3 linked regions of the Elephas maximus indicus genome follow. The protein of the gene in region 2 interacts with the protein of the main gene of each other region in a pairwise test. Links are inferred from orthologs where the notes say so. Each region holds a gene or a part of one and is shown on either strand. Other genes may lie near its edges.

Region 1 (8,308 bases), on a different chromosome or scaffold from region 2:
ACTTGGGTTGATATGTTATTGATTTTCTATCCAGAGAACTCCCTTCAGTATTTCTTATATTTTTGGTTTTGGTTTTCCAAATTCCCTAGACTTCTGTTTATCTGGAAATGTCCCAATTTCACCTTCATATTTGAGAGACAATTTTTCTGGATATGATTCTTGGCTGGTAATTTTTTTCCTTCAATTTTTTATATAAGTCATCCCATTGCCTTCTTGCCTGCATGGTTTCTGCTGAGCAGTCTGAGCTTATTCTTATTGACTCTCCTTTGTAGGTGACTTTTCATTTATCCCTAGCTGCTCTTAAAATTCTTTTTTATTTTTGGCTTTGGCAAGTTCGATTATGTCTTGGTGACTTTCTTTTGAGATCTGCCTTTTGTGGGGTTTGATGAGCATCTTGAATACATATCTTCTCATCTTTCACAATATCAGGGAAGTTTTCTGCCAACAAATCTTCAAAAATTATCTCTGTATTTTCTGTTATCCCTCCCTGTTCTGGTACTCCAGTCACCCATAGGTTATGTCTCTTGATAGAGTCCCACGTGATTCTTAGGGTTTCTTCATTTTTTAAAAAATTCTTTTATCTGATTTTTCTTCAAATACACAGGTGCCAAGTGTTTTATCTACAATCTCACTATTTCTGGCTTCAATTTCCTCAATTCTGCTCTGCTGACTTTCTATTGAGTTCTCATATCTGTAATTTTATTGTTAATCTTATGATTCTTGGAGCTTATTACATTTTTCATTATGTTCTTGAATAACCTTTTTAATTTCTTCAGCTTCTTTATCTGTGTGTTCCTTGGCTTGCTCTGCGTTTTGCTTGATCTCGTTCCTGATTTCTTGAAGAGTTCTGTATATTAATCTTTTGTATTCTACATCTGGCAGTTCCAGAAAGATATCTTTATCTGGAAGATTCCTTGATTCTTTGTTTTTAGAGCTTGTTGAAGTGATCGTGGTCTGCTTCTTTATGTGATTTGTTATTGACTGATGTCTCCAAGCCATCTTTAAGCTATTATATCAGTTTATTTTAAGTTTGTTTACTGTATCCTAGCTTCTTTGTTTTGTTTTGATATGCCAAAATAGGCTATGTGAATGAGCTAGCTTGATTAGTTTTGCCTTTGAAGCACTAACGTTCTGTGACCAGTGGCTAGAGCTGTCACCAGGTTTATGAGCCTAGGAGCCCATTCACTTTTCTTGTATGGGTTCAGCTCAGGTGTCCAGGTAGTTGGTCATCAAGTGTGTGATACAGACTCTGTCCTACAGTCTTAGAGGGGCAGGGGTGATTGGTGTAGGTACCGGTATCTGGTTGCAGCAGGGGGTCATGCTTTGAACAAGGTATGGGGCTGACAACTATCTCCCAAGCATCTGTGAGGAAAGACTGATTCTTCCCTAGAGCACACAGGTGGCTGGGTTTTGTAGCTGGACCATGGGCACCTAATGCTTTTGGTTGTAAGGACTGGGAGGCACCACTTATCCTTGGACCCCTGTTGCGGTGACTAGATGATGTGGGTGGAGCCACCAATCCTCAAGCCCCTGATGTGGGCTGCTGAGGACCCTGTTTCACAGGCAAAATGCTGTCAAAGACCAAAACCTTCCCCTCCACTGCACAGTTGAAACAGTTGAAACCAGATCTCAAGCACATACACCATTGCAGTCTGCCAACAAAGGCCTATTCTCCTGAAATGGGCCCACACGGGTCTGCATAGGGGTGAAAGTTATTCGAAGTCTGCAGCCTCTTTGTGCCTGGACAGGAGCTGCTTCTGTCCTGAGCCCCCCATCTTAGTGGAGCTGGCAGATTATCTTTCCCCCTAATTGTTAATTTATTCCTTCTCCATGGCTGGGAGAATGGCTAAGGCGTGCAGTAAGACCTATCTCAGGCCTAGGGATCTCGACAACCACTGAAGCCAGTTTGAGGGCTGGTTTCATGGTAAAATAAACGCAATACTTAGCTTTTGTCAAGAGTGCTGTTCTTCTCTGCTTCCGGAGGTGTGAGTAGACTGTGCAGTGCACTGTCTCTCCCTGAGTAAGCAGCATCTGGAACGCTACAGCCAGCCCTGCCACGGTTGCTGTAGTGGATCGTGCCTGAGGGTTGCTGGTTTCCATAGAGTCAGGTCTGGCAACTCCTTGCTGCTTCTGAACTGTCTCTCCCTCCCCTGCCACTCAGTCTGATTTCCTAACTTTGCCTTTGATGTTCAGGGCTCCTAGCTTGTCCTATATATAATCATTTCAGTTGTTTTTTTGGGTCTTTGTTGTAAGAGGGATCACCGGAAGCGTCTGACTACCCCGCCATCTTGGCCCCATCATCCATCTTCTTTTTGATGCCTGCGTTATTCAATATTTTGCCCATTGAGTTCCTCAATATTGCAACTCTAAGCTTGACTTTTTTTCTTCAGTTCTTTCAGCTTGAGAAATACCAAGTGTGTTACTCCCTTTTGGTTTTATAACTCCAGGTGTTTGCATGTTTCATTATAATTCTTTGTCTTCTCGAGCTGCCTTTTGAAATCTTCAGTTCCTTTAGTTCGTCATTTCTTCATTTGCTTTATGTAGTCTATGTTCAAGTGCAAGTTTCAGAGTCTTCTGACATCCGTTTTGGTAAAAATATTGAATTTATTCATCTTTTACCTTAGTGGTTGGTGTATAAATTTGAATAATAGTCATATTAACTTGTCTTCCTTATAGGCTTATGGATATTATCACTGGCAGTGTTGTACTTCAGGATAGATTTTGAAATGTTATTTTTGATGATGAACGTGACATCATTCCTCTTCAATTTGTCATTCTCAGCATAGTAGATCATATGATTGTCTGATTCAAAATGGCCATTACCAGTCCCTTTCAGCTCACTAATGCCTAGAATATTGATCTTTATGCGTTCCATTTAATTTTTGATGACTTCCTGTTTTCCGGGACTCATAGTTTGTACATTCCACGTTCCCATTATTAACGGATATTTGCAGCTTTTTCTTCTTAATTTTGAATTGTGCTACATCGGCAAATGAAGGTCCCAAAAGTTTTACTCTATCCATGTCACTATGGTCAACTCTATTTTGAGGCGCCAGCTCTTCCCCAGTTGTATTTTGAGTGACATCCATCCTGAGGAGCTCATCTTCTGGCAATATATCAGACAATGTTCTGTTGCTATTTGTTAAGTTTTCATAGCCAATTTTTTCAGAAATAGATTGCCAGGTCCTTCTTTGTAGTCTGCCTTAATATGGAAGCTCTGCTGAAAGCTGTCCATCAAGGCTGATCCTGCTGGTATTTGAAATATGATGGCATAGCTTCCAGCATCACAGCAACATGTAAGCCACTACAGTATGACACACTGACATAATAGTAGGGCATGTTATATGCTAAATAATGTGCAAGGTATTAGGATATGACAGTAAAGGTCTACAGCCCTTTAGTTTTGTAGATAAAGACAGGTTAGTAAACTAATAAGGGCAGTCAAGTAATATTGGCTGCACTGATCAAAGTATGAATAGAGTAGGCTGTGTAGGGATAAGACAGTAGTCAGTTAGAGTGGGTTTGTTTTGAGTGAGATTCAGGAAATCATCCTAGGGGTGAGAACATGAGAACATGTGCAAAACAGGTAAAATGTATCAAATTCACAGTTGCAGAATGACTACAGATAGTACAGCAATGAACCACATACTTTTATATCATCTCCTATTGCACATAGCAAAAATTTATTTCTTTCAAATCAGGAGAAGGAATTTGGGTGTGTCAATCACCTTCCTTTTTTTCCCCCTTTTACTTTAGTAGAAAGAATAATTATAACAAAATTATGGGACCCAAGATATACATTTTGCTTAGAGTACACAGGTTGAATTTATTTCAACTTTCCCAACACTGGTAGGACACTCATTGAGTCTTCTGGGTGCCAGCAAAAATCAGGTTGTCTGAAAGTGTTCTTCTACTGACAACAGTTTCGGGTTCCTGGTTTTTAACTTTTCCATTAGTATCTCAGAACAGGGCCCTTGTAGCCCATTGGGAATAGGGATGAGGGAAAGGGCCAAAATGGGGAAAGTCATGTGTGGAATTAAAACAACTAAAAAAAGCATTGCAGTTGAGTCCCTTCTGACTCATAGCTACCCTACAGGACACAGCAGAACTGCCCATAGGGTTTCCAAGGAGCGGTTGGTGGATTTGAACAGCCAGCATTTTGGTTAGCAATCATAGCTCTTAACCACTGTGCCACCAGGACTCCATGTATGGAATGGAGGGTGTAAAGAGAACATTTATGTTATTTTGATGATTTAGTAGACACTTTCACCTTATTCTCATACAATCCTCATAACATCCCTGAAGCTAATATCTGTATATTAATCCCATTTTATCCATTAAACCAATTGGTGCTGCTGTGAGAACGTTTGTAATTTGACCAAACTCAAACAACAGCTAATAAATAGTGGTTCCCGGAATTGAGGTCTGCCGTACTCGGTCTTTTCCACTAAGACAGTCCACCGAAAAAAACTCTTCTAAAGGAGTTTATCTGGATCACATTTAGAGGCCTTTTGGTAGATCTAGGTCATATCTAGATGGGAAGGTAATCCTACTTTTCCTGCAAATCCTTGGCCAAGCTCCACCCTCGCAAAGTAGCGACGCGAGAGCCTTTGGCCGCCCCCAAAGAGGTTGCACAGGGCTCAGCGAGTGCTCCAGGGAGAGAAGGATACACCAGCCACGCAGGTGCGCGCGCACCTGTCGCCTGTGGAGTGCGCGCTGCGGGGGATGAAGTACGTGCTTCGCGCGCGTGCGCGGGTAACCGGCAATACTCCTTGTACGTGCGCCGTACGTGGGCACAGAGTCCCTGCGCTCCGCGTTCGGTGTCGAGTGGAAGTCTGGGAGGGGCATTTTCCCGGGCGCTCACGGCTCCCCCTGGCGGCGGCCCGCAGCGCCGGAGGCGTGCAGTCAGGCGTTCTCCGCGGGCAGCCGGCGGCGGGGCCTTTGCCTTCTAGCGCGGGGTCCTCGGCGGCCTGGGTGGCTACTGCTCCCGCTGCTGTCGTAGGCGAGGGCGGCTGCTAGTTGCTCCGCTGTCTGTTCGCGGCAGCGTCGGCGGCGGCCGCTGAGGACGACGAGCCGACGGAGGAAGGCGGAGGCAGGCGCGGCGGCGGCGGCGGCGCCCGGGTCCGGCGGCGGCGAGGGGGGGGAAGATGGCGGACGTGCTCAGCGTCCTGCGACAGTACAACATCCAGAAGAAGGAGATCGTGGTGAAGGGAGACGAAGTGATCTTCGGGGAGTTCTCCTGGCCCAAGAACGTCAAGACCAACTATGTGGTGTGGGGGTAAGTGCGGTATGGCCGTGGCCGGGCGGCAGGGAAGAGTTGGGCGCCCCCAAGTGACCTCTTTGCTGAGCCCTCCTCCCGTTTCCCCTGGGGACGGGGACGAACAGGGTGCTCGGGCGAAAAGTTTCTGTCCGGAGCAGAAGTTGCACTTTGGGCTGAGACGCTGTGTCTGGAGCGACCCACCTCTTTAGAATTGGGGAAGCCATAGAAGAAGGTGACTTTTCTCGTTCATTTTTGTAGGTATGTATCGAGTACCCGTAATGTGTAGGGCTGGTGCACAAGTACACCTGAGCGTAGGTGCACAAAGGAACACATCATTTGGTGCCGGGGACGTCCCTGTTTGTTCTTTATTTCTCTTCTTTGATGCTGCCGTGTGTGGTGACTGTCTCCCCTGGCCCTGCAGCTCCTGCTTTATTTCTTCCCCTTTCGTGTTGGAGAGGGGGGTTATCCCTTAAGAGAGAAGGGAATCAACTCTGTGAAGTTTAGGTGGGAAGCGGTTTAGATTAATTTGGAAGAGTCGTCAAAATCTGTGTTGGAGGCGGAGGCAGGCGTTTCCTCAGGGAAAAAGTTGGTAGTGGAATGGAGTGAGTGTTTTATAGGTCTAATTAAGAAATTGAAGATGCGCATGGTTTTGGGAAGTGTGAGTTAAAGAAAAATGGCTTGGAACGTTGATCCACGTGGGGTTTCTTGAATTTAAATCACTCAGCGAAACATCCAGAGACAGGTCTAATAATCATTAAAAAAAATAGTGACGCCACTTTTCTTTGGTGCTTCCTTTGGGCGTTAGAACCTTGAACCAGGACTTCCATATCCAGCTTTGTTTGACTGAGGGAAAGATAGAGTGAAGCGGGGCAGTGGGCTTTATGAAGAGTTGCCCAGAAGTTAAGGGCAATTTTGTTTGTTGGTTGGTTCTTTTGTTTTTATTTTTATCTCGAGGTCTTATGATTTAATTTAGCTTTATGAAATGTGAGTGAAATGACATTCTCAGTTTACTGTGGGAAGTTTTAAAGAAATTTTTTATTTTAATCTTTACAAAATAATTTGCATGGACAAGATTACATATGATTGAATTTTTAATTTTTTTTCTTCTCTAGGAAAGTGGTTTAGGAATACCCAGGGTGCAGGGCAGTTCAATAATCAATGTGAGAAATAGAAAAATTCTTAAGACCTTGATCCCTGCCTCAGAGGAGGTTTATTTAATGTGAATAGAGACGATAACATAAATTGATGTGAAGTGTTTTCTGTCTCATAAAAAGAAAGCAGTCACTTCAGTCGGGTGGATGTTAGGAAAAATTTCATAGATGTAAGTTTGGCATGTTGGTTTCTAATACATTTTTCTTGAATAAATGAATAATCTTTAAAGAACGGGCAGGAATTCTGTGAGTAAAACGGTGGGTTAGGTCTTCCAAGATGATAGAACTGCATGTATAGAGGCATGAGAGCTGGAAAGTAAATGTGTTCACAGATAACAATAACAGTGAAAAAAGCATGCTTAGAACAGTAGGTTTCAAACTTTCAGAACAATGACTCAAACCAAGAAATATATTTTCATTCATATATATCTATACGTGCAAACGTTAACATTTTTATAGCTACGTAAATAGATATAACATTAAAGCTCTTGTTGCATGCAGTGCATTGTTATTTTTCTATTCTTTTCTATATCACCAAAAACAAAGAAAGCCTGGTAGTTACCCATACAGTATTTGATTTCATAGCATAGCGATGTGTGGCTTGAAATACATTGATTTAAAGGAAAAATAGGAATAGAAGCTAGGTAAGTAGATTCAGGGCTAATTGCAGTGGGCTGCATTCAGATGAATTCTAATAATATACTGACCATTTCACTTCTGGGTGGGAGAATGAAGTAAGAGGAGTGGGATCAGACGCCAACGTTGGTTTGGCAAGTAATATGCTTGAGTTAGAGAGGCTGCATCCCTAGGTGCGGCTGCATTTTGGGTAACGTCACTGGTCTAATCTGAGGGGTGTCGTAAGAAGCGTACCTCTAAAATTCATTGTCGGTTACTGTAAGAATTGTTGAGGATGTTGTTCAGCAGTATCTACTTTAGGAAGAGCCGTAAGATAAAATTGTCTTAAGTTGTAGCACCAATCATAGCTGTGCTTCTCCTTAACAATTTCGTTGTTTCTCATATAAGTTCTCCCTTATCTGTAACTGGTTAGGTTTCTCTTGCTATTGACAAAGTTCTGAGCCTAATTCTAAAAAGTTTATAGTACCAAAGAGCGTGAATTTTGCGTGCTTTCCTTTTTTCTTGCTTTTTCTCCTCGTTTTCCTTTGTGTTCTTTTTGTCCTAAAAACAGTTTGACTTAGTAGTCAATTTATATACTTTAGTGTGTTTTGGATAGCTATTTTAAATCCATTGTTAAGCAGCAAAGTGGGTATAAATAAATGAGTACCTTAAATTAAGCTCAAATTGTTGAATTAGAATTGTTGGTAAAAATCTTGCCTTAATGATTTTAGGACTGGAAAGGAAGGCCAACCCAGAGAGTATTACACGTTGGATTCTATCTTATTTCTTCTTAACAATGTACACCTTTCTCATCCTGTGTATGTCCGACGTGCAGCCGTAAGTAGAATTTATTTTAAAATTGCTTCTTTGAATTAATGTTAGATATTACTTGACATGGGTAGCTTTCCTTATATGTTTCAAATCAGAAAGATCAAAAGATCCATCTGCATGAAGGTCTCAAGGAAAAAAGAAAAAAACCAAACCTATTGCTGTTGAGTCGATTCTGACTCATAGCGACCCTATAGGACAGAGTAGAGCAGCCCCGTTGGGTTTCCCAGGTAGGTTTGAACTGCCGACTTCTGGTTAGCAGTCAAAAGCTTAGCTACTGCACCACCAGGGCTCTTTGAAGGATCAAAATTGGGCGACCGTTTGTGATTTGTGCACACTTTTTAATCTGTGATTTTTTTCATGTAAACTGTGTGTAATGTTTATGGTAGTAGATGTTTTAAAGCTATTTATGGTTTTTTTTTTTTTTTTAAAGAATTCATGTACCTGTGGTAGA
Region 2 (8,427 bases):
AAGAGAACGAAGGAAATTAAAGGCTCAAAGAAGAAACCAGTCCACAGCACTAACAGCCCACACGAACCACGGAGTCTTCTAACCTGAAACCAGAAGAGCTAGATTATGCCTGGCTACTACTAATGTTCTGATCAGGGACACAAGAGAAAATCCTGGATAGAATGGGAGAAAAATGCAGAATAAAATTCATATTCCTAAAAAGGCCAGACCTACTAGACCAATAGGAAACCCTGGTGGTGTAGTGATTAAGCGCAAACCAAAAGGTCAGCAGTTCAAATCCACCAGACGCTCCATGGGGCAGTTCTACTCTGTCCTATAGGGTCACTATGAGTCGGAATCGACTTGATAGCAATGGGTGGTGGTGGTACTGGACCGACAGAGACTAGATGAACCCCCAAGAATATCACCCTAAATACCCTTTGAACTTGGAAGGTCACCTTTCAGCCAAATAATAGATTGGCTTATAAAATATGTAATATCACCCATCAGTAATATGCTCCCTTAAGCAATGAATTATGAGACCAAATGGTCAACATTTACCCAATAGCAAACATGAAAAGGCAAGGTGGGGAAGGGAAGCTAGATTAACGAAAACAGAACAAATGGAATGGAAATAATGAGAATGCTCACACACTGTGGAAACTGTAACCAATGACACTGAACAATCTGTATAAAAATTGATAAACGGGAATCTAATTTGCTGTGTAGACTTTCACCTAATACACAATAAAATACCTGGAATGAAAAAAAAAACTATTGTGGATTTGATGTTGGAAAAAAAATTCTCCCGTGTGTAAACGTGCAAGTCATTGTATGAATACCTCTGAGGACCACAGAGGGTATGAGGTATGAAAGCACTCTTAAATGTAAGGTCACATGGCAGTGTACATGGTAGTAGTGCACTACATAGTAGAGGCACAGCAGTACTACATAGTAGTGCACACAGTAGATGCACAAATGTTTGTTAAAAATATTAACTATTTTCTATAACAAGTACAGTTATAGTTCATCATTTCCATTCTAAACTGATAACCCGGACAAAACCAAACTTTTTCCTGTGGTAATCTTTGCATGAACAACAGCATAAACTGTCAAACATTATGTCAGGTACTGACATGCAAAGCTCAAGGACAGGCAAAACTAAAGTTAAATTTCTCATGACTTTAAACATTGCATGACAGAACTCAAATTTCCCTGAAAAAAAAATCACTAAAATAGTTACACATTATTCTAACTATAAGCAATGATTCTTGAAGATGCTGAAGTATTAAGTTCAAACTCATAATTTACTTCAGTAAGGAAAGCGACTTTACTTCTCAAAAGATCTAGTGGAATGCAAAATTTGTCCACTTTCCCCATAAGACGCATCTTTCCCTATAAACTCATAAACCCAATGAAAGTGTGAAGTTCTAAGATCTATTTTTGACTCATTTATTTAGATTACATTCCATCTAACTCTAAGATGGAAACCCTGGTGGCATAGTGGTTAAGAGCTACAGCTGCTAACCATAAAAATCGGCGGTTCGAATCCACCAGGCGCTCCTTGGAAACCCTATGGGGCAGTTCTACTCCGTCCTATAGGGTCACATGAGTTGGAATCGACTCAAGGGCAACGGATTTGGTTTTTGTTTGGTAACACTAAGATGTGGCTGTTTCAACATTTCCAGGTGTGATTCTTGCACATATGTAAATGAAACATACTATAGTGGGGAATGAGGTGGCCAATGCATGTAAACATGTTATATGGGAAGTATTGCTGCTTTCAAAGGAGATTTTTATTTACCATCAACATATGACTTGATACATGAAGGTCTAAAAACATCTAAAAGCTCTTTTTGCCACCTTTTCATTGCACAGCTTCTGTTTCAAGAGTCAGAAACCCTGTTGTTGTGTGCCAAGATGATTCTGACTCAGTGCAACCCAATGTGACAGAGGAGAACTGCCCCACTGGGTTTCCTAGGCTGTAGTCTTTACCAGGGAAGATCACCAGGTCTTTTCTCCGGCGGGGCTGCTGGTGGGTTTGAACCACCGACCTTTCGGTTAGTAGAGGAGCACTTAAGCACTGCACCACCAGGGCTCCTTTCAGAAACCCTAGAATTAACTAAAAGCCTTAAAGCAGTCCAGGGCTAAGATACAGATGTGCGGACTTCTTCACCAAGGTCTCACATTTACTTCCAACAGTCAACCAATATTCATTATTAAGCCCCAACTCCCAAAACATGCCTCATGTTCTACGGGGTCCCACCTTTGTACAAGTCCAGACGAACCTATCCACACCTACACATACATCATTAGTCTCCAAGTCTCCCACACTGGCACAACAGCCTCTCAACGTTCATCCGGTTGCTAATTAAGAGTCATTCTTCCTTCTTCCACTGACTCGGCAGTCTTGACATTCCTACAATCTCTTGTTCCATTTCTACCACACACTCACTATCCAAAGCAACAAAAGAAACAAGTCCCTTTCTCCAACCACAGACACCTTCATTAACTCCATACACCTCCCACCCCCACCCCCTTATTCTCTATGCTTCCTTTGTTATTCCGTAGGTACAGGGCCTGGGAAAAATCTCACTCACCTCATGCTATAGGCACCAGCACCCAGTTCCTGGCCGATCCCGGAAAGACTAGCATCAAAGTCCTGCACCAGCCCGGATTCAATCACTTCATCCGCCAGAGGCAGCTTCAGAGCCCAGGCCATCCCGGCTCCTTCCTTGCCCCAGGAGACACCGTTGCTTGTACAAAGGCGCGGAGCGTGATTCTACCCAACAGGGGAAGACTGTAGAGAACTCCAAACCAAGATCTCCCAAGCAGTGCCCACCAGCCACCCCCAAGCCCCACAGGCACTCCTCGCACAACTAATCTCCCGAACCCTTGACTCCTCCTCGCTCTTAGCTGCCCCGGCTTCCGAAACCCTCCCGACCAGCTCTCTGGAGCGCGAGGCCCCCTCTGCTCAACTACTCCCGACTGGCCAGGGGCAGCCCTCGACTCCCGCACTCCCACTCCTTGGACTGCCCTCTTTGAGCTCGTGGTGGTCACTCGCTGGTTTCCAGACAGGCCAACAGCACCGACTGGCAGTCAGTCTGGCGCTCCCACGCCGCTTTCGCACCTTTTCCCCCGCCCACTACTACGAGCAGCCCCCTCCCTCTCGGGACCCACTCTCCTTTCCCCTCCAGGCCTCGCTTCCGGTCAGTCCCAATATCACTTCCGGTCACCCCTTCTAAACAGTACGGCCCTTAGAATCAAATCCAGGTTTCCTTAGAGCCGGCTCCCCACCCTCTGCAGCGCCCCACTGTCTCGAAACATGGAAGGGGAAAGTCCAAGCACCAGCTTGAAACCCAGACTCGCCAGGCCCCTCCACCGCCCCGGCGCCAACCAATCATGGCGCCCTCTTCCTTCGCCGACCCGGCGAACATGACGTGACCCTATCGCTCACCAATGAAGAAGAGATTTTGTCGGCCTCCGGAGTGTTGATAGGCTAGCCACGCCACGGCTTCCGCCCCTGGAGGCAGGACTGGTCGTTCTCGAGGGGGAACCGGTGCATGTTCAGCGTGTCGCGGTTTAAACGTCCCTCTGTCCTCTTGTGTGGCTATTTGAGTTCTTGGCATCCGCTGCGTACCTACTCGCCGCTCTAAGGCCCTAGGGCAGTCTTACTGAACCCGCTCCCACCTCTGGCGGGCTCTTGGCGGTTTCACAGACGTTCGCTAGCTGCGCGCCTTTCCCCCTGCTCATCCTCCTATCTTGAATGCGCTCATTCCTTAAACTAATCTTTCCGGAGATTAAGACCCAGTTTCAATCCGGCTTCTCTGGATATTCATTTTATCTCCCGCCATTCCCCCTAATGCATTTGAAAAACAGGAAAGCATGAAATGAGTGAAAGTATTGTGATTAAAAAAAAAGGGGGGGGGGTATGGTTTGAGATTTAAAAGTTCCAAAAACCAGGTTTGGGCTGTTACCTTCATTTACTAGTTTGGTGACTTCAGATAAACCGCTTAATCTTGCTGAGATTTAGCTTTCTCATTTGTAAAGTAGATATAACCATACCTTCCTTCTTTGAGAATTAAATAATGCCATTGTTTATTGAGCGTCACCTGCATGCCAGTAACTTTATTACGTTATCAGTAATCTCCAAGACAACCTTAGAATTATAATTCTAAAGGTAAATGTTATGGCCCTCACTTTACCAATAAGGACGCAAGGTGAAATTGGCAGAGCCAACGTCAGAGCTGACTTCAGAACTGATCCAAAGCCTGGCATTTTTCATACAACACATTGCCTGTATGTGAAAGTATTGGTTCTTTATTGTATTACTGATTTTTTTACAGTCTGCCTTGAATTATAATTTTGTATGTATCTGCCTCTCTCTGTGAACTCCTAAAGAGTAGGGACTAGGTTTTTTTCAAGTTTGTATTCTAAATATCTCCTCGTATAATTCCTGCATTCAATAGGACTTTCAAAAAGATGCTTCTTGAATTAAAAAAGGAAAGAAAAAAAGAGTAAGAATGAGGAAAAAGAAAGACAATGTCGACGTGAAGTCCCTGACAGCATGCCCCCATTTCTAGCCATGCATTACTAGCTCTCTTTTACCTACCTGTTAGGGTCAAGTCGATTCTAACTCGGCTTCCAGTGCTGTTTTAGGGTCCTGGATTTAAACCCATCTTTTTTTTTTATTTATCTTGGTATGGGAACTGTGGTGGTGTGGTGGTTAAGTTCTACGGCTGCTAACCAAAAGTGTGGCAGTTCGAATCTGCCAGGCGCTCCTTGGAAACTCTATGGGGCAGTTCTACTCTGTCCTATAGGGTCGCTATGAGTCAGAATCAACGCCAGTGGGTTTGGTTTAGTGGGTTTATCTTGTTGTGGAAACCCCAGTGGTATAGTGGTTAGGGTCTACCACTGCTAGCCAAAATGTTGGCAGTTTGAATCCACCAGGCACTCCTTGGAAAGTATGGGGCAGTTCTCCTCTGTCCTATAGGATGGCTATGGGTCGGAATTGACTCGATTTGGTTTTTCTCTTGGTGTAGTAGTTAAGTGCTACAGCTGCTAGCCAAAATGCCAGCAGTCCAAATCCACCAGACACTCCTTGGAAACTCTAGGGGGAAGTTCTACTCTGTCCTGTAGGATCACTAAGAGTCAGAATCCACTCAACTGCAAGGGGTTTGGTTTTTTGTTTTTTGGGTTTTCTTTTTTTTCTTTTGTATTTTGGTAAACCCATGAATCCTCCTCTTGGTAAATTCCTGGTACCTAATATCTCCTCAAGCCATTTTTTTCTTCCCTTGAGCCAGTTTTACCTAAAAACATGTACCTGGGGTAAAGAATGGTCTGGGGTTCGGAGATAAAGAGATGTCACACATGGAGATTTGAAGGCTCAAAATCCTTTGTAGACCAGCATTATATCCAGTATATTTTCAAACACCTATTAGGCCAAAACATGCCTTGTTTGAACACCAGCTCCAACACTAGCTGCATGATCTTGGGTAAGGGACTTTACCTTTCTGAGTCTTAGTATTTTAATCCATCCACTAGTAAAAATAATAAACAAACAAAAACAAATCTGTTACCATGGAGTCAATTCCAACTTGTAGCAACCCCGTGTGTTACAGAGCAGAACTGCTCCATAGAATTTTCTGTAATTTTTACAGAAGCAGATCGCCAGGCCTTTCTTCCACAGCACCACTGAATGGATTAGAACTGCCAATTTTTACATTAGCAGCTGATAGCAAACCATTTACACCACCCGGGGACCTCCTCCTGAAATTGTTGTGAGGCTTAAACAAGGTGCCAAAATGCCATATGTGTAGTAATTATAAATATTAACTCCATTTTCCCACTAGCCCACTTCCACTTCCCTGTTCAGATTGGGACTCTATTGTTATGTATTGTTAATGCTATTTTAATAACATTATATTACTATGATATAATAGTTTTAATAGCACTCTACTACATATTACACAGCAGCCAGGTGGTTCAGATAGTTAAGTCTCAACTACTGGCTAAAAGGTTGGTGCTTTGAACCCACCCAGAGACACCTAGGAAGACAGGCCTTGTGATCTGCTTCTGAAAGGTCACAGCCCTGAAAGACCTATGGAGTGCAGTTCTACTCTGCACATACGGAGTTGCTGTGGGTTGGAGCCAACTGGACGGCAACTAACAACAACAACAATATATATTGCCTCATTTAATCCTCATAGAAGTTTTTATTTTGTTTGTTATGTTTTTAATATGAGGAAAGAGACTCAGGACAAGAGTGGTTAAAATCAAGAGGATTACAACCGCTTTAGAAAATGTCCTGAAATTATAACTCAGCAACTCTACTCCACTTCCCTATCAAAATTCTTTCACATTCACACCAAAAGACTTGTGTGAGAATATTCATGGCAACACTACTTGTAGTAGCAAAACAAAACAAATGCCCACCAACATGAGAATGGATAAATTGGAATGGAGTAGAATATTGAATTTCAGTTGAATACTGAACTCAATTTTGTCAGTGAAAATGAATAAACTAAGGCTACCCTCAACCACATAAATAAATCAATCCTAGAATTAAGGGTGGAAATGTAGAAGTCCTCATACACTGTGATATCGTTTTATAAAGCTCAAAACTCAGCAAAATTAAGCACTATATCACTTAGGGAAATGTACATACATTCCTTTCAAAAAGAGTGAAATGATAAGCATAATTCCAAGTGGTAGTCACATCTAAGGAAAGGCCAGGGAATGGGCAGGGGAGGAACTCGGAGCAGCTTCAACAAAGATAATAGCTTTGTTCATGGGTGATTTTTTTTTTCATCATTATGCTTCCTAACTTACAAAAAGTATATTCTTAAATAAGGAACAAATATTACACAAATTAGTAGCTGAGCCAGGAGCCACAGTCCAGGTCCCCCGATTATCTTAACTCAGCTTTGCCTTCCATGATGCCTCCCAGCTCATGGCATAGTCCTGGAAACTGTACAGATAACAGAGCAAATATAGGTAATAATGATAGGCTGGCTCATATTTACTGAGTCCTTCCTAAGTGTCAGGCCCCAGCTAGGTGCTTTAGTACATTATCTCATTTAATTCTCACATTACCCCTATAAGAGATTAGATTCTTAAATCCATTTCATAGATAAGGAAACTGAGGCTTAGAAAAAGTAATTAGATTGTCCAGGGTCATTAAGTTTGAGAATGGTGAAGCCTGACTTCTGACCCCACAGTCTGGGTGCCTAACCCTCATGCTAACTGCCTCTGTGGATGGTTATAGCCCAAAAGGGATCTGCTTCCCACCTATTTCTTCCTTTCAGGAATGGGTTTTAAAACTGGTGAAGGCGATAATTCTGAATTTTTAGAAAATGAACAGTGCTCATGAAGGAATATTGGACAATGCAGGTTTTCTCATCCACAGAAGGATAGCTCAAAGGGAATGAATTTAAAATAAAACAGGGAGTATGCACATCAGATGTTTGCCACTTCCCTAGGAATATCATGGAGCCCGTCCTCTGGACGATATTCAGAAAAAGACAGACAAGTGCTTTTTGAAAATTGTGTGAGCCTAATTTTATGAACTGAAGATTTCAGAAAAATCCTCCTTACCATTTATTAATTCTGAAACAAACTGAGGTGAAACGAAAGGAGATGTCCAAGTCTTGGCCCCTCCCAAACGCAATGCAGGTGAGCTTCCATCATATTTATGCCTCTTATAGACTGAATTATGTCCCACTCCAAATAAGGTGTTGGAATTCTAACCTTTATTCCTGTGGACGTAATCCTACCTACAAGGTGGAAACAGATATTACCTAGACCCTGATTTGGACTTTTTAGCCTCTGGAACTGTGAGAAAATAAATTTTTGTTCTTCAAAGCCACCTATTTGCAGTATCTATGTTCTAGCCACACTAGCTAACTATGACAATGTCCTTCAACCCAGTTCCACCTGAGGGAAGAAGACCTTACAGACTTATGAGGAGGAAATGAACTTTACCCCTCCCTTCCCTTCCCTTTCCTAATGTAACTAGGAGTGAAACTGGAGTGCTAGGACAGGAAGCAGAGGTTCCAGGAGCAGCGCCATCAGGTACTCCCCAGCAAACCCAGCAATACCTATCAATAGACCAAAATTTTGTGCATTTCCATAGATTCATCCCATAATAAAAATAATGACTCCTATTGTTGTTGTGTGCAATTGAGTTGATTTTGATTCATAGCAACCGTACAGGACAGAGTAGAACTGCCCCCATAGGGTTTCCTACACTGCAATCTTTATGGGAACAGGTTGCCAGGTCTTTTCTCCCTCAGAGCCACTGGTGGGCTCAAACCGATGACCTTTTGGTGAGCAGCCAAGCACTTAACTGTTGCACCACAGGGCTTCTTTGACTCCTTGTTGTTGTTGTTAGGTATCATCTAGTTGGTTCTGACTCATAGCGACCCTATGTACAACAGAACAAAACAC
Region 3 (8,576 bases), on a different chromosome or scaffold from region 2:
TTGTGTCAACGCCTCATTCTTCTAATTTCCCCGGTAGACTCTAAGACAAAAATAATCACAAAGGTCTTTGGCTCACCTGATCGGTTGTCATTATCCGCAAAAGTTACATGGAACGAATGTCCCACGTTGATAATTTCTTTGGCTGTGGCTGGATTGTAGGAGACACTGATAGGTTTTAGAGCAGTGTCATGTTTGGCTTCACTGGTTTTAATGTCAATAGGAGACTGGTTATTTCCATTGGCGATGGGGTACAGCTTGGCCCATTGCTCAGGACCTATCAGGACAAATGTGTGATTATTATCAAAAATTTATTAAGTGCTTGATTCCAAGTTTTAGGCATACAGCTACCTGTTTGCTGGACTGTGACATTCTGTTTAGCTTAATGGGCATTCAATGTTGAAGATGCCCCTTTTCTATACTATACTATAAAGCAGTATATTTGTCAACACTAGTAATACAGGCTCATACTCATAGCCTATAGGTTAAGACTATAAATATTTTATTATTAGCAATAGATTTCTAATAGTAAAATCTATCTATTGAAGGTACATGAAGGAATTTTGCTTTTGGAAAATATATTTTGTAGACAACCATACCAAAGAACAGCTGCTAAGAATACATGTAAAGATATTACAATTATTCAAAACAAATAATTCAAACTATTAACCTATGACTACAGAGCTATTTTGAACGCTTAATACCTCTGCTACTGAAAAGAGAATAAGCTATTATCTCTGATCTATCTGAGCAGAGCTCTTACCATTTTTGACATCATATCCCCAGTCAGCACTTGCCATGGTCTTGCAGTTAGTTTTCTTTTTCTGAAACAAAGATAACACCTGTAATTACTGACGGTGACCGTGCATGCAGTAGACACCACCACTTGGGGTTTTTATAGAAGTTCCCTGTCCTTTAATATGCTACTATTTCACCATCTCAGCCTATAAGGAAATGTGTATATGTAAAAAGAGATGTTGTAAAAAAAAGTTCACAAGGGTCATGTCAGTTTCATTTTTTTTTTTTTTTATATTGTAAAACAGAAATAGCGAAATCTTAGTTTTTATAAAACCAAGCCCTGTCTCTCTCATGGTATTAGAATATGCGGCTGAAAACTATCACACGCCATTCTTTGGATTTTCTAAATTACCCATGACTTTGTGCACTTGCTGTTTCCAATTCTGCCCTTGCTGGATACTTTTAAGCAATATTACCAATAAAACGAAACCCACTGCAGTTGAGTCGATTCTGACTCATAACGACCCCATAGGACAGAGTAGAACTGCCCCATAGTGTTTCCAAGGAGCAGCTCTTAACCACTATGCCACCAGGCCTCCTAAGCAATATTAAAACAACAGTTAATTAATAAGAAAAATTTGCATGTTTATAGACTGATCTGAACTAGCATCACGACATTAATTTAACATCAGATAAAAAAGTTACTGATGGTTTGTAATACGTATAATTCAGAATGGTGCGTTTCATAAACACACTCAGGATGAGAACAAAGTCCATTTTGGAGTAATAATGGAATTCATACAAAAATTAATTAATATTTAAATTCAGGCCCAATGTTTATTTTACACATTGAATGGGTCTATTAGTGCAATGGTTCAGTGCTTGCTTGCTAACTGAAAGGTCAGCTGTTTGAACCACTCAGTTGCTCTGAGGGAGAAGGACCTGGCAATATGCTTCTGTAAAGATTACAGCCTAGAAAAGCTGTGGGCAGTTTTACTCTGTCCCATGGGGTCACTATGAGTTGAAAACCAACTTGACGGCACTTAACATAAACAACAATACAATCTATAAAGAATTTTCATATTATTTTACCACCACAAAAAAAAACCTTTAAAGTAAGAATTATCATTTTGTAGTTGACAGATATTGAGAGACTTCACCACAACTATCAAAAAACCAAGAAGCCAAGACTTCGGCCTCCAAGTTCATTTTCTTTCTTCACTATACCTCCAGCAGATGTGACACTGGGTGAGCTATGAGACGGATGATCCCTAAATCTCCTTCTATGCCCACAATTTTCTTAAGTCACATTTAAGTCCACACCAGGGTGAGAACTGCCACTTGTTGAGTGATGAGAAGGTCTACAGGGCTTTTCAGGGAGTCAAAGAAAAATGATTAGAATGTGCCCACATTCTTGAGGCTCTAAGTGTACTCAAAGGAAATGCAACCAGAAAAATAAACTTCCATAGTAATCCTTTTTTCATGCTAGAAAAAGACATATCTCCATTCGCACTGTAGAATCATGAGCTGCCTGGCTCCCCGAGGGAAGAGTGGGATGAGAAGCAATTTTTAGCAGTGCTCACCAAGGACATGTTTATTTCTTTGTAGATCAGAATAGCCTGCTGCTTCATATGCAGACTGAACTATGGCTCATGGACATTCACAGAGCGAGAAGAGGTTTTGTTGGTAGAAGGAAAAATCTTTTAAAAGAGCTTTATCTTTTAAGGTAACATTTATTAAGCGACCAATATGTATCAAATGCCATGCTAAAAACTTTACATGCAGTATTTCACTTATTCTCACAAAAGCGTTCCCATGGAAGCTGATTTTTTTATTTTAACATTAAAATCTGTTTTACATCCAAAGAAATTGAGGCCTACAGAGGTGAAGACACCTCCTCAGAGTTACAGAGCTTGGAAGTGGCTGTTTACAGTCCATAAATCTAGGGCTTAACAGTAAGTCTAACTACAAAGCTTCTTTTCTTTCTTAACCTTTACAGACAGACCCTTCCACTGTCAAAAAAATGTCCTTTGGCCTCCTTTTGATTCTATTTTCTGGAAGACTTGCTTAGTTGATCTGGACTGGTCTGGCTCAACAGTCAAGATTAATTCATCCAGACTTATGACCTCAGGCTTCACCAGAAGCTCATGGAACAACAGTACAGGCTACTCTTGGCCAGGTAATTTGTCTCTTGAACCTAAATTCTTTGTCAGAAACCACTGTAATCACTATATTGACCAATATATTTGAAAAAAGACAACCCCTTTTTCATTACAGGATAATTCAGCACGTAAATGTTTTAACATTCATAAAAAAAAAATATGAGATGGTAATTCACTTGAAGTTTTAGGTACACAATTACTTTAAACCCTTACCATTACGACCCTTTACTCCATTATCTACCCAGGGTGTGTTTGTGTACTCGGACAAGCAGAAAACTATATAGAGAAAGGAAGTAGAATTTAATGAGTATCTATGATTTAGGCTCTGACACCTTGTTTTATCATCATATGATATTAGGCGTGATTATAGGGTCTCTAAATGGTAGGGCACAACACAAAGACACTTGGATAGATGAAAAGCAGAAATCTTTGTTACTTACAGCTCCAAATGAGAGAAGGCAGTCAGCAGTGCCAAACAGGCTCAGTAAACTGGAGACGTTGGAGATGGCTTAAGTATGGAAAGCAAAGTGGGGTTAGCTAGGTAGGCAGGCTCCCAGTGAATTGGCGAATTTGAATAATTTTGTGAGCTCTGGGGCATAAAAACGGTTCCCAGTCATTTGATATCTGGCCCCAGGGTGATTAGGGTGGGTACGTAGTGGCCCCAGAGTGTTAGAGCCTGATAGAGGAAGTAGTTGAGGTGTAGACTTAATCAGTTGCTGTAGAAGAACTGATTGGCCTCTAGCCAGGGCCTCAAAGTTAGGTTGAGCCAGCACTAAAAACAAAACAAAAACTAGGTTACAATTGACTCCTTGATTTCTTGACAACAGCTTCAAGTTCAATTATTTGTGGTATTTGAGTGGCCTGAATAGTAGGGGAGTAGGGCATAGTTGCTCTAAACAGCATAGAAATCGTTAGATTATGACAGTAAAAATAAAGAACCCAAGTAAAAGCCTGAGAAATCCCTGAAGACTGGCTTATAGCCACGTTCCCCATTTGGTGTTATCAAAGAGAATAAATTAGTTATGGCAGGATACTCTAGAAATACTTTGGTTGAATTGTGGAGTGTGATAAAGGTGTAGGTTCAGTTTTTGTGATGATGATTTTGTGGTCCAAGCTGTGTGTTGGAGTGGCCACTTGACCAATGTTGTTACCTGCGAACAAAACAAAGTACTAATAATGCTACAAATGCCTCCTTGATTACCTAATAAAGAATTAAGAGCCAATGTATCACCAAAAACCATTTTTGTGAGGGTTCTATGGCCTTGATTAAGCAGGTCTAATATTTGTTGTACTTTAAGAAATGTGAGATACTAGATATTTGGACATTCATAGGTTAGTGTCAATGATTTTGATTGTTGAGTTAGAGTGATGGTCCCTGTAACTGTCTTAGCAAGTCCCAAAGTGGTAGAAAGTTCCATATTATAGATATGACAGGGACATGTCAATGATATTTGGCTGGAGTGGGGTAAGAATGATTAATCTTTACATAAACGGGAAGGCCAAGAGAGGCTGGAACTAATCAATGCGGTTTGTGGCTTAGGGGTACTGGAAGAGCAAATTAGAGGGGATGAGAACCCTTGTCTACTGGACCACAATATAATCTGGTGGTGTTATTTTTAGATTGAAAAACTGGGAATTACTAAAGAACGGGACTGAAGGTAGACAGTTGATTTTGCTGGGCATATAGTAAGGGTTTAGAGTCATCCATTAGGTAGCTCATATGTGCTGTGTATTGAGGAAACATAAGAACAATTACCATTTGCCATAGGGAGTGCCCGAGATACAAGGGAAGTAGCAGTTTGGAGGAGGTTTTAATTTCCCAATATTTTCCATCTCTGGGCCAGGTATCAGCTGGATAAATGTTTGGTGTGGTATATTTGGAAGCAGACTAATGGCAAATTCAAACAGACAATCAGTGCATGAGAAGCTAGTTCAGTTGGTTCAGTTAAAAGAATATATATGTATGTTGGATGCCTGTGTACATATTCAAAGAGCTTTGTTGATGAGTTTGAATTTCATTTGCTATGTGGTCTTTTGGAGGATGAAAGGGGTAGTCACTGAAAGGATAGAAGAGACTAAGGTGGGGCTGTGGATGCTGAATAATGAGGAAGATGGAGGGAAAAAAATATGAAGGGAAATGAATGATTTGAGCATTGGGAGGCCAGCAGAATTCTCCTCTTATATCTAGGAGAGCACATAGCATGAATACCTTGGTAAGGTCAGCCTTTACGCTGGAGGGAAAAACAAAACCAGTTGCTACTGAGTCAATTCTGACTCATGGCAACCTCATGTGTTTCAGAGTAGAACTGTGTTCCAAAGAGTTTTCGATGGCTGCGATTACCAAGCCTTTCTTCCGAGGTGCCTCTGGGTAAATAAGAACTGCTAACCTTTAGGCTACTAGCTGAGCACTTAACTTTTTGTGTCACCTAGGCAGGAGAGGTGAGTCATATTAGAGGGAATTTTAATCTTGGAGGCATTGGACTTGGCCCAATAAGGGCTTAACATGGTACAAAGTAAAATTATAATCATGGTGAGGAGGGCGGGAGGACTTACAGTTTTATCAGTACTCACTCAAGGTGATGTGGGTCATATTTTTGAGGTTCTATGGTATTTTAACAGGGAGGAGCCACTTGTAGAATTTGAAGACAATGTTGGATCCAGGAGCTTGATTTGCATATATGTTTTCTGGGTGCATAGCTAGCAAAAGTGATGGTGGCATTCACGATACTGCCATGATTGAACATAATCACTGGAAACTGCCTGGCACAATTAAAGCCTCAATTAAGGTGGCCAAATCTAAAAGCTCCCAGCAGTCCAAGGTTTTGCCCAGATGGATGATGATAGGGGATTCTGCTGCAAATAGGTTTTTAAATCACATGGCTTAATTTGGGTGCATGTTAATAGGATATTAGGTTGCTTGCCAATTAAAATATCTGTGACAGGTTGGAGCTCCATTGTTAGCCTGTAGGCAGGCCCTCCAATTTAGCCAATTATTATCACTCCTTTGCTTCAGTTGTCTGGTGAGGTCTTTGGATTGCAGGACTTGCATTAGCCGAAGTTGATGGCATGTGAGCCTCAGCATTTGCCATGTTTGACTTTAACAATGGCTTATGTGGAGGGTTGAGCCTCCAGATTACAATCAATGAAAGCACCAGAGGAATAGTAACAAGACCAAGAGAGAAAGGTATGAAACTTCATCTTAAACGCTTTTTGTTGTTTGATGCTTCTTTCCCTCTGGCATGAGTTATCACCAAGGAGGAATTGTCTGGTTTCATCATGGTGGATTAGGGCGTTGGTTCCATCATTATTTTCTAGTGGAATTTTCATTTACTCTGTGGAGTTGCTTATCTTCCTTCTTGGTGGTCTATGGAAAGGGTCCTGGAGCAATAATTTTAATTTCCTGTAGGGGATCAGAGGGGGAGGCTGGATCAATCACGCATCCCTTATAACCTAAATAGTGTGGAATGTTTCTAGGTGTTGGAAATTTAGGTTTGAATGGGTCACAAATGTGCAGGTGCCCTGTCAATCTACTGTTAATGGTCCCAGGTGTGTATGAGCCCTCCATTTGGCCTGGGATGGGGTCGAGATTGAAAATCCATGTTCTTGGGAGGAGATATTAGTGAAAGATTTCCAGTCTAGAGAATCCTCATAAAGATGAAGATGAGATCTATCATTGTTAGCTGCCATCAAGTTGGCCCCCCCTCCCACCCACCACACACTCATGGTGACTCCATGCACGATGGGATCGGACTATTATGATCCACAGAGCTTTCATAGGCTTATTTTTCAGAAGTAGATTTCAAGGGCTTTCTTCTTGGTCTTAGTCTGGAAGCTCCACTGAAACCTGATCAGCATCATAGCAACATGAAAGCTTCCACTGACACACGGGTGGTGGCTGTGCTTGAGGTTCACTGGCTGAGACTCTAACTTGGGTCTCCTGCATGGAAGTTGAGAATTCTACCACTGGACCACCACTGCCCCCCAAACTGTGATATTTCCCTTTTAAATATAGAAAATGGCAATGGGAAGGCTTGTAAAAATTAGTATGTGGTATAAGCCTATCCAAAAATCTAGAATTAAGAGAAATTAGGCCTCAGGGCAAAAATGAGGCCCAATTATAAGTCTACTTGCTAGACTGGAGTTTAGAAAGCAGTTGTTTTTTTGATACTGTTACGTCTCTCAGTTAAACTGGCTCTGTTACTGCAATTTCACGAGTTAGAGCCACCTGCCGCAAAGTTCTTGAGACGGGGTGAGGTGGGTAGCAAGAGCTTTATCATATATACCAGTAAATGGAGACAGAGGGGAATGATCTCCTAAAGCTGTCTGTCTCGAGAAACTGCAGTCCATCTTGGTGGGGTTTTATAGGGAAAAGGGGACATGGGTTTGAGGAACTTGAGGAATGTCCATTCTCTTTCTGTGTCGTTAGGGTGATTACATCTCAAACATCTGGATCTTTCCCTGCCATTATCCCATCAGCCCAGGGGCTGACTGGCGCCATCCTGATGAGCATCATCCTGTTTGACAGACTTAGATATCGCTTGTTTTCCCATCGTCCTAGGGGAAACACTGGTTAACATTTAACTTTTAGAGGAGCTAACAGCAAAATCACACTTGGAGACAGAGACAAGCTACGGAAAGGAAAAATGGCTCAGGTTTCGTTCAAGATATTGCTGAGCAGCCTGTTCTAGCTCCCTGCAGTGATATGCCAGATGACAATTCCATTGAATAACCTGTTCCAAAGCCCATCGTTTTGCTACATATGCTGCAAAATGGGAACTCTGATCTGAATCAGTACTGTCAGGAGTTCTGAAGGGCTAGAATGGTTTTAGTAAGGCGAGTGATTGGCATTTTGGCCACAGCAAGTCCAATAGGAAAGGGCAGTAGAAGGCCAGTGTAGGTATCTGCCATGGTTACAGCATAACATGTGGCCCCTGATGAAGGGGGATTCAGTCCATCAACCTGCCACCAACTATAGGGGACTATTTCCCAGAGGAATATTGCTGTATCTCATGAGTTGCCAATGAGTTTGATTATTGTCATTGGTAGGTGCCGTCAAGTTGGTTCTGACTCATAGCGACCCTGTGTACAACAGCACAAAACACTACTCGGTCTTGCACCATCCTCACAACAATTGCTATGTTTGAGCCATTGTTGCAGCCACTATGTCCATCCATCTCATTGAGGGTCTTCCTCTTTTTTGCTGGCCCCCTGCCAAGCATGATGTCCTTCTCCAGGGACTTGTCCCTCCTGAGAACATGTCCAAAGTATGTGAGATGAAGTCTCGCCATCTTCACCTCTAAGGAGCTGCACTTCTTCCAAGATAGGTTTCTTTGTTCTCCTGGCAGTCCACGGTATACTCGATATTCTTCACCAACACCATAATTCCAAGGCACCAACTCTTCTCCAGGCTTTCTTATTCATTGTTCAGCTTTTACATGCATATGAGCAATTGAAAATACGATGACTTGGGTCAGGCACACCTTAGTCCTCAAGGCGATATCTTCGCTTTTTAACATTTTAAAAGGTCTTTTGCAGCAGATTTTGCCCAATGCAATACATGGTCTGATTTCTTGACTGCTGCTTCCATGGGCATTGACTGTGGATTCAAGCAAAATGAAATCCTTGACAACTTCTATCTTTTCTCCATTTAACATGATTTTACTTATTGCTCCAGTCATG

What was found.
Region 1: the proteins of TFCP2 (region 2) and CDC73 interact in binary tests that used the Homo sapiens proteins (3 or more experiments, as listed by UniProt). The two-hybrid records come from large-scale screens. The link is inferred for Elephas maximus indicus from reciprocal best matches to the Homo sapiens genes TFCP2 and CDC73.
Region 3: the proteins of TFCP2 (region 2) and CA1 interact in binary tests that used the Homo sapiens proteins (3 or more experiments, as listed by UniProt). The two-hybrid records come from large-scale screens. The link is inferred for Elephas maximus indicus from reciprocal best matches to the Homo sapiens genes TFCP2 and CA1.

What each region holds. Positions count from the first base shown.
Region 1 is NC_064842.1:58,646,343-58,654,650, forward strand, and holds the start of CDC73 (parafibromin), read left to right. Parts: upstream 1-4,903; 5' UTR 4,904-5,147; coding exon 5,148-5,278; intron 5,279-7,757; coding exon 7,758-7,863; intron 7,864-8,308.
Region 2 is NC_064822.1:106,577,931-106,586,357, forward strand, and holds the start of TFCP2 (alpha-globin transcription factor CP2), read right to left. Parts: upstream 3,396-8,427; 5' UTR 2,702-3,395; coding exon 2,580-2,701; intron 1-2,579.
Region 3 is NC_064833.1:56,265,787-56,274,362, reverse strand, and holds the start of CA1 (carbonic anhydrase 1), read right to left. Parts: upstream 3,525-8,576; 5' UTR 3,338-3,524; intron 822-3,337; 5' UTR 798-821; coding exon 761-797; intron 275-760; coding exon 77-274; intron 1-76. UniProt on the Homo sapiens protein: Catalyzes the reversible hydration of carbon dioxide. Can hydrate cyanamide to urea.